2 linked regions of the Rhinolophus ferrumequinum genome follow. The protein of the gene in region 1 interacts with the protein of each later gene in a pairwise test. Links are inferred from orthologs where the notes say so. Each region holds a gene or a part of one and is shown in the gene's direction. Other genes may lie near its edges.

Region 1 (3,747 bases):
GGAGCCTCCCACCCTCTGGCGGTGTGGCTCTCCAATGTGGTCATCAACCCAGGAGCAGTGATGACAGTAACTGGAAAGAATGCTAGGCCATGAAGATTGTAATCGTCAAGCATGGGGGGCATTGTGACTAGTAAGCAAGTCTAAGTTTCAGGGTATTATCTAAAGCAGGGAATTGGAACAGGGGCACCGAGCCCAGGAACAGGGACGGGGACATTCCAAGCTCAAATCGCAGGGAGGGGGTTGACCAATTGTTAAGCTCTAGGGCAGGGCTCTCCTGGGCAAGGTCTCTTTTGTGGGGGTCCCAACCACGCCCTGTTTCACACCCATTTTACTTTTACAGATGAGGAAATTGAGGATTCGAGAGGTGGTATTAACTTCCCAAGGTCATATGGTTAATTCATGGCACATCTGGAACTCAAACAAGGGTCTGCTAAATGCCAAAACTTGAACTCTTCCGTGATCCCAGGATGTAGAACAGAGATTACCACTATCCCCACCACAGAGATGAGGAAATTGGCTCAGAGAGGTAAAGTAGCCTCCCCACAGTTATACATGCGGAACATGGTAGAATCAGGATGCAAACCTATTTCTTTTATCACCAACCCAGTGTCTACCTTGCCTGAGTAAAGGATCTCAGCAATTCCTTCCAGCGAGATGCTTTTTAATTCCGGGTTGAGACAGGGAACAGTTGGAAGGAGAACGGGTGAAAATAAAGAAGAGACTTGGTCTTGTTGCTGTACTTCACACTCCATGACTCAGAAAGCCAGTGTGGTTGGCCCAGATCCTGCCCTGTCAGCCTCATCCCTTCCCTCAGTGAAGATTAAAAAGTCATTCAGCCAACAGGGTTTGCAACCCTTGAAGCTTGGACTTCCTAGACCTCACGCTGACCCACCCAGCAGCTTTTTCCCTGAGGAGTGTGTGTCCACAGTCCCCATCTATCCAGGGACACTTGTTCCCTGATCCACTCACCTATCAGTGTGTAAGCAGTGAGAGTGGTTCCCAAAAGAGAGTGTGAAACACACATGGGCACAGTCATGTCCTTCCACCCTGGGACACACACCACACCCTCTGACCCCAAACCAGGGGGAACTCCTTTTCCCATTTGGCCCAGCCCAGCATCCCTCCAGGCTGGCAACTGGAAGCCTCCCCACAGGGACACACCCTGGGGGAGGAGCTGCTGTCCTGGCGTGTCCCAGCCCAGCCTAGCAGCGAGTTCCTTTACTGCTACTCTACCAGGTCCCAGCCCAGCCTGGCAGGGAGCTCCCGTTTCTGCTCCTCCACTGGCCCTGTGGGATTGACATGGCCCAGGAGCGTTCTGCCTGCACCCTGGACCTCAAGCACATCCAGCAGCTGGTGCTATCCTCCCAGGAGGCCAAGAAGGCTGCTTACTGCCCCTACAGCCACTTCCCCGTGGGGGCTGCCCTCCTCACCAGGTCCGGGAGGATCTTCTCAGGTAAGGCTGAGGGCTGAGCCCCTCTGACAGCCTGATAGGGGGAGGTCAGAAGAGGATAAGCAGGAAAGGCGGGAGGCTCAGGCAGGGCAGATGGCAGCTCTGTCCCCTCTTGGCTGCCCCCCACCCCAGTATAACCATTGGCCCCTGCTGCCCTGCCTAGTGTCCCAGACGGTAGGGATGAAGGTGCTGCTGAAATCTAGGTGGTTTCAGTCCTTGGAGGATTGGGAAGCCGTGGTGGGTTAAGGGAGGAGGTTGGAAGGAGAAGCCATAAATCAAAAGCATCAGCAGTCCTCTGTGCTGGGAGGGAGCGGGGCTAGTCCTTCCTGAGTCTTCCTCTGCGTGCCACAAGTTACATCAGCAAGTCCTCACCTCCAACCCACTGACCTAGGTGTCATGCCGTTTCTCAATGAAGAAACTGAGGCCCAGAGAGGTAACATGACTTGCTCAAGGTCACATAGGGCACTGGAAGTGGCACCCAGGGCTGTGGTCTCCAAAACGCTGCTTTCTTCCTGTCATCTACCATGGTGGCAAATGCCTGGAGGAGATAGGGAGGAATCCAGGTGGGGTGACTTGTTAATGGGGTACAGAAGGTCTTGGAGGAAAGAAGCCAGGTGGGGTTTGAGAGACCAGCAACAAATGCCAGCCTGGGAGGAGCAGACAGGAATCTGAGTTGGCACTAATCTGTCCTTAAGCTCTTTTTCTTTGGTTTGTTGGTTTTATAGAAAAGCTCACTTGAACAAAAATTCAAACTTGTCTTGGTTAAGCTAAGGGGCATTCTCTTTTAGGATAGTGGGAAAGGTGGTGTGGAGATGGCAGGGAGGTCATGGCCTCCCCACTGCTCCGATTTCCACAGAGGGAGAGAGGGACATGCCCAGAATGCCCTGCTGCCTGGAATCCCCCTTCCGCTTGGCAGCAGCTATTGAAAGGACCAGAGGCCCACATGTATACATCTAGTTGGTAACCCCCAGCAGGCCTGGGCCAAGTGGGAGCCACTCGCCTCCTCCACTGCTCAGGAGGGGCCCACACCTCCTCTTCTGTAGCGGCCCTTCTGGGGTCTCCTTGATATTCATGTTATTTCTTGTCTTTTGAGGTTCCGCATGGGTTTCAGGAGTCACCACCTGGGTCTTAAACATCTTTGAGCAGGAGAAGTAACCTTGACTGGGTGCTAGTATGTGAAAGGACCATCTCACCCTTACAACCCCGCAAGGCAGTTATTAGAGCGCCACTTTGCAGAGAAGGAAACAGAAGCTCAGAGAGGTTAAACGCCCAAGACCATGGATCTGGGATTCGAATCCAGAGTTCCCTTGTCTCCCAAGTTTGCTGGGGGGAATTCGGTGGGGAATAAAGAATCTGAGTGTCCTGTGGAAATTCAGGCTGGCCTGGTGGCTCAGATGAGTATTAAACATTAACCACCACCGCAAACAACGCTGCCACCCGCACTGGCCCATGGCACCAGAGCCTCGAACGTGGAATCAACCATTGATTCTTTCCAGTGCCTCCAACATGCTCTCTTCACCCTTGCATTGATCCATTTATTCAACAAATATTTGCCAAGCACCAATTATGTGCTAGGTAACGTATCAGGTGCTGGGGATACTGCAGCGAGCGGAAATGGCATATCCCCTGCCCACGTGGAGGTCCTCTCCTCTTGCACAGGCCATGGCTCAAAGTGGGAGCCTTGCCAGGGCTTGTAGGAGTGAATGAATGAGGGCAGCAGAAGCATAGCCTATTCAAATTGCAGGGGAGGACCTGGCGTCACCAAAGAAAGGGTTGTTGCCATGGGGATTTCGGGAGGCCCTCGCGGATGACCTGAAGACTCTGGGGTTAGAGGCTCCTCATTTTGAATCCTGGTGCTGCTGTTTATCAGCTGTGCGTTCCTGGGCAAGACGCTTGACCCTTCTGAGTCTCAGCTTACATTTGTAAATGGGGGATCATAATGTTCGCCTTTCAGGATGGCTGTGAACAGAGCTGGTTGGCCTGGCCCGGCGTGGCAGCCAAGGTCACCCCTGATTGTCGGTGCCCATGCCGCATCAGTCACTGAGTGTGTTGAATCTCACCCTGGTTGTGAGGCTTTAAATGAGCTAATGCCTCTAAAATGATTGGCACCGTTTCTGGCCCACAATAAGGGTGTCACAAATGGTGGCTGCTTTTACTTCTACTATTAATGGTCTGAGGCTAATGATATGATGATTTGGAGACAGATGGTGGAGGATTTTGGAAGGCCAAGCAGAGACATTACGATTTGATGAAGTAGGACGGAGGGAGTCAATGAATGTTATTAAGGAGAAGAATAA
Region 2 (3,747 bases), on another chromosome or scaffold:
TAGAGATAATATACATACAGAAAAAAGAACACATCTTAAGTGTTCAGCTTGAAATGTTTATACATGTACCCACCATTCAGGAGTAGGTTTGACAGGAGTTTCCCTCACAGCATTTCCCAGGCAGTATCCTTACCCCAGTCCAGGAGTCCATCCCGCTGCTACCCCACCCCCTCAGTTCCACACGGGCTTAAATAACATCTTAAAAGTTTAGCAGTAATGATAATCAAATTTCCCCTTTTCCCTCCGTTAAAAAAAATAGTCTTTTAATTTTGGAATATTCTTAGATTTGAAGATAAGTTACAAAGATAGTACACGCTTCACTCAGTTTCCCCTAATGTTAACATATAACCAAGGTACAATTGTCAAAACTAAAAGTTACTCATCATTACTATTAACTAAAATAAAGACTTTTTGGAATTTAACAATTATTTCACTAACATCCTTGTTTTTTCGTTCCAGGATTCCACCGGGACACCATATTACATGTGACAGTTTCTCAGTCTTTTCTTGTTTTTCATTACTTTGATAGTTTTGAGCAGTACTGGTGAGGTATTTTGTGGAATGTCCCTTAAGTATTATTTGTCTGATGTTTTTCTCATAGATAGACTGGGGCTATCAACACGACTTAGCACTGTCGATGTTAACCTTGATCTCATGGTTGAGTAGTGTTTGTCAGGTTTCTCCTCTGTAAAGTTATTTTTCTCCCTTCCCATTATGTACTCTCTTGGAGGAAGTCACTATTCACAGCCCACACTCAGGGTTGGGTGGTTGGAGAATAATACCGTCTCGGGATGGAGTATGATTAAGATTCTTCTATAAGGAAGATGTATCTTTTCTTCCCATTAATGTATTTTAATCATTTATTACAGCAGAATGAACTCTAGTATACTTTATACTCTGTTATAGTCTGACACTACGTAATTTATTTTGTTGCTCCAATTGTTCTAAGTTTGGCCATTGGGAGCTTTTTCAGGGTGACTCCTGTGTCCTTTCACGTGCCTCCACGCTTTTATTTTTTGAGCATTCTTTACGTCTTGTGCTACAGGATGCCCCAGATTCAGCTTATACTTTTCCGTGCTCCAGTTACAGTCACTCATTTCTCTAAGGAGCCCTGGCTCCTTTTATTGGAGGATGGTGTTTAGAAGTAAGAACGGGGTGCAGACAATTCCTTTTTGGTTGAAAATTAACCCGGGACTTAGGCAGGGACGAGGACGCCCAAACCCAAACGCGCCCCGCCACCTGGGCTCGCCCGGCCGTACTGCAACCCCCGGCCTGCGTGCGCCGGCGGGGCGTGCGCATGCGCAGCGGGCAGGAACGCGGTCCGGCTGAGCCGAGGACCCAGCGGCGACCTTGCGCTCCCTTTATGCTTCGGTGCGCGGAGGCTGCCGCCGCCCGGGTATTCGCAGGTGAAGGCCCAGTCTGGTCGCGGTGACCCCAGACTCCCTGGGGCTGCCCGGCCCCCCTTTCCCCGCCTCCTTCCCTCGCTGGGCATCGGCTCCCGTGGAGCCTCCCCGAGAGCTTCCCACTCCCGCGCGCCCCTCGGCCTCTCCTCGCCCCTCCTCTCCCCGGCCCGTTCGGCCTCTCCTGGAGCCGGTGCCCCGCCGCCAACCCCCGCTCCTGGCCGGCCTGCGCCCCCCACCGCCGCCTCGCAGGTGCTCCCCGCGGGCCGCCGCTTCCCCAGGTCCGGGCCTCGGGCCGCAGGAGTCCGGCTCCTCTTGCGCTCTTCTCCCGCGGGCCTTGCGCCCTCCTCCGGGTGCCGCGGTGGCCGAGCGGCGGCGCTCACTGCCAGGCCCGCGCCGCGTCGTTCCCCTCCTCGTGGTTGTGCGGTGCCCGTAGCTCTGTGTGCGTGCTTGGACCGTATTTATAGTGAGGCTTTGTTTCACGTTTGATTCTCACCCGACTGGATTGGGAACTCCGGTGGACGTCAGGGATTTTTGTTTCGCGTCGGCCCAAGATTTTTTGTTTGTTTTTAAATCTGAAATGTAGCGTAATTGACATAGAAGAGGCTTCGTAAATGAACGAATAATAAAGTTCCGGTTTTTCGGGGTCGGTGGAGGAAATGAATGAGGTGGGAAGGTCACATTGTCAAAAAACCTAGGGGAACGTGGTGAATTCCCAACGCCTTGGACTCCTGGCCCCCGAGAACCTTTAGTTCCCAGACTGGGAGCCACACCGCCCGAGGGCGGAGCGCAGCCATCCAAAGGGAGGAAGGTTCCTGGGCCTCAAGGTATTGAGGAAACTAGTGCCAGTGCCGGAAGTGACTTGTGTAAAGTCACACGGGGAACTTATGGCCTTTAATATTTATTGAACAACGTAATGACCAAAAGACCCGTGTCTGTGTGTTGTGCAGTGGGAGTGCCTAAGGGCCAGACTGAGTGGGAATGCGCCTGCTACTGGTTCTCGGTGCGCTAGAGTGTTTCCTAGGTCCGCGAAGCTTCTCATCCTGGGCTGCTGGTTATTGATGGGACGTAGGAGACCCTCTGGCTGGGCAGGTGCTTGTCTGGGCTCCCCTTGGGCCTGGGGTTCGGTAGTGCTTTCTTTACTTGACTCCCCACTCCCTCATCCCCAATCTCAGGGCAGGAATGGAGCTTACGTTGCAGCATCATCCTTGGCACCTAACAGTGTCTGGTGCTTTGTAGGTGGTCAGTAAATGCTTACTGATGCTACCAAACCGGAAGAGGGCCCGGCCATTTAACTGCAGCAGGGCCAAACACTGAACACTAAGTTTTGCAGTAGAGAAGTTAGAACTGTTTATTGATAGGGCGACAAGCTAAGAGAACAGCAATCTATTGCTGACAACCCGAACTCCCCATGGTTTTTAATCATGGGTCTTTAAAAGCAGAAATTGAGCGGTGGAGGTCAGGAGCGAAACTGATGGGTTAGTTCTTCAGCAAGCTTTTAGCAGTTTTCCTGAGTCTCATTAATTCAGTTCCTGACATCATCTTGTCTGGAGTCTTCCTCACTCTGGTCAGGTGATATAACTGGGTTGAGAAACCAAGATTCTGGAAAATATCTCCTGATTGTGTCGGTGATGTTTATCTTTAAAACAAAAGGCAGAAACTAAACATCTTATGATCATTGTTACTGTTAAAGCTATCATTGCTGTATGCTTAACTGGCTACATTTTTCTATTATCTCAAGCTAAGTGTACTTGTAAACATTTTTCCTGGAACTTTACAGGCAGGCCTCCAGGACGAGACTGACATACTTTCTTAATCTTTGACTATAAGCTGCATAGCAACCAAAGCAATTGCAACATTTAGTTAAAGCCTGTAGAACATCCCTATACTCTATGAGCTAATACCTAAACATGTTTACTGTTAACTGTTGGTTTCACTGAAGGAAGCTGCAGAAAAACAACTCAGAACCTGACAACAGTTCTTTACTAGCATTGTATTTTTAATGGTGTGAACGCATTCTGTAAATTTCCTGATAATCTCAAGGACCGAATTTATGAAATGTGTACACCAGTGATATAGGAAGAACAGATACCATCCCTATAGTCATATTTATTATTCCTTGGCAAGATAGAGGTTTTTCTTCAGTCTCTCTAGCTGCTTTGCTACGCTTCCCAGCTTGCCATCCTACATTAATACTTTGTTTCTTTCTCCGTTTTTACTGGATATCTAAATAAATTAAAGAATTACTTTATTAGTGTAACTACCAGAAACTGCAGAATAACATAAACAATTAAAAATGTTACAAAAAGTGGGTTAGTTGAACCAGTCATGTCTTATTTATGGTTGT

The links. The genes of interacting proteins can lie anywhere in the genome.
Region 2: the proteins of CDA (region 1) and PLEKHB2 interact in binary tests that used the Homo sapiens proteins (3 or more experiments, as listed by UniProt). The two-hybrid records come from large-scale screens. The link is inferred for Rhinolophus ferrumequinum from reciprocal best matches to the Homo sapiens genes CDA and PLEKHB2.

The regions. Positions count from the first base shown.
Region 1 is NC_046292.1:13,888,914-13,892,660, forward strand, and holds the start of CDA (cytidine deaminase), read left to right. Parts: upstream 1-1,206; 5' UTR 1,207-1,299; coding exon 1,300-1,453; intron 1,454-3,747. UniProt on the Homo sapiens protein: This enzyme scavenges exogenous and endogenous cytidine and 2'-deoxycytidine for UMP synthesis.
Region 2 is NC_046293.1:92,344,516-92,348,262, forward strand, and holds the start of PLEKHB2 (pleckstrin homology domain-containing family B member 2), read left to right. Parts: upstream 1-1,290; 5' UTR 1,291-1,297; coding exon 1,298-1,406; intron 1,407-1,846; exon of another isoform or gene 1,847-1,866; intron 1,867-3,747. UniProt on the Homo sapiens protein: Involved in retrograde transport of recycling endosomes.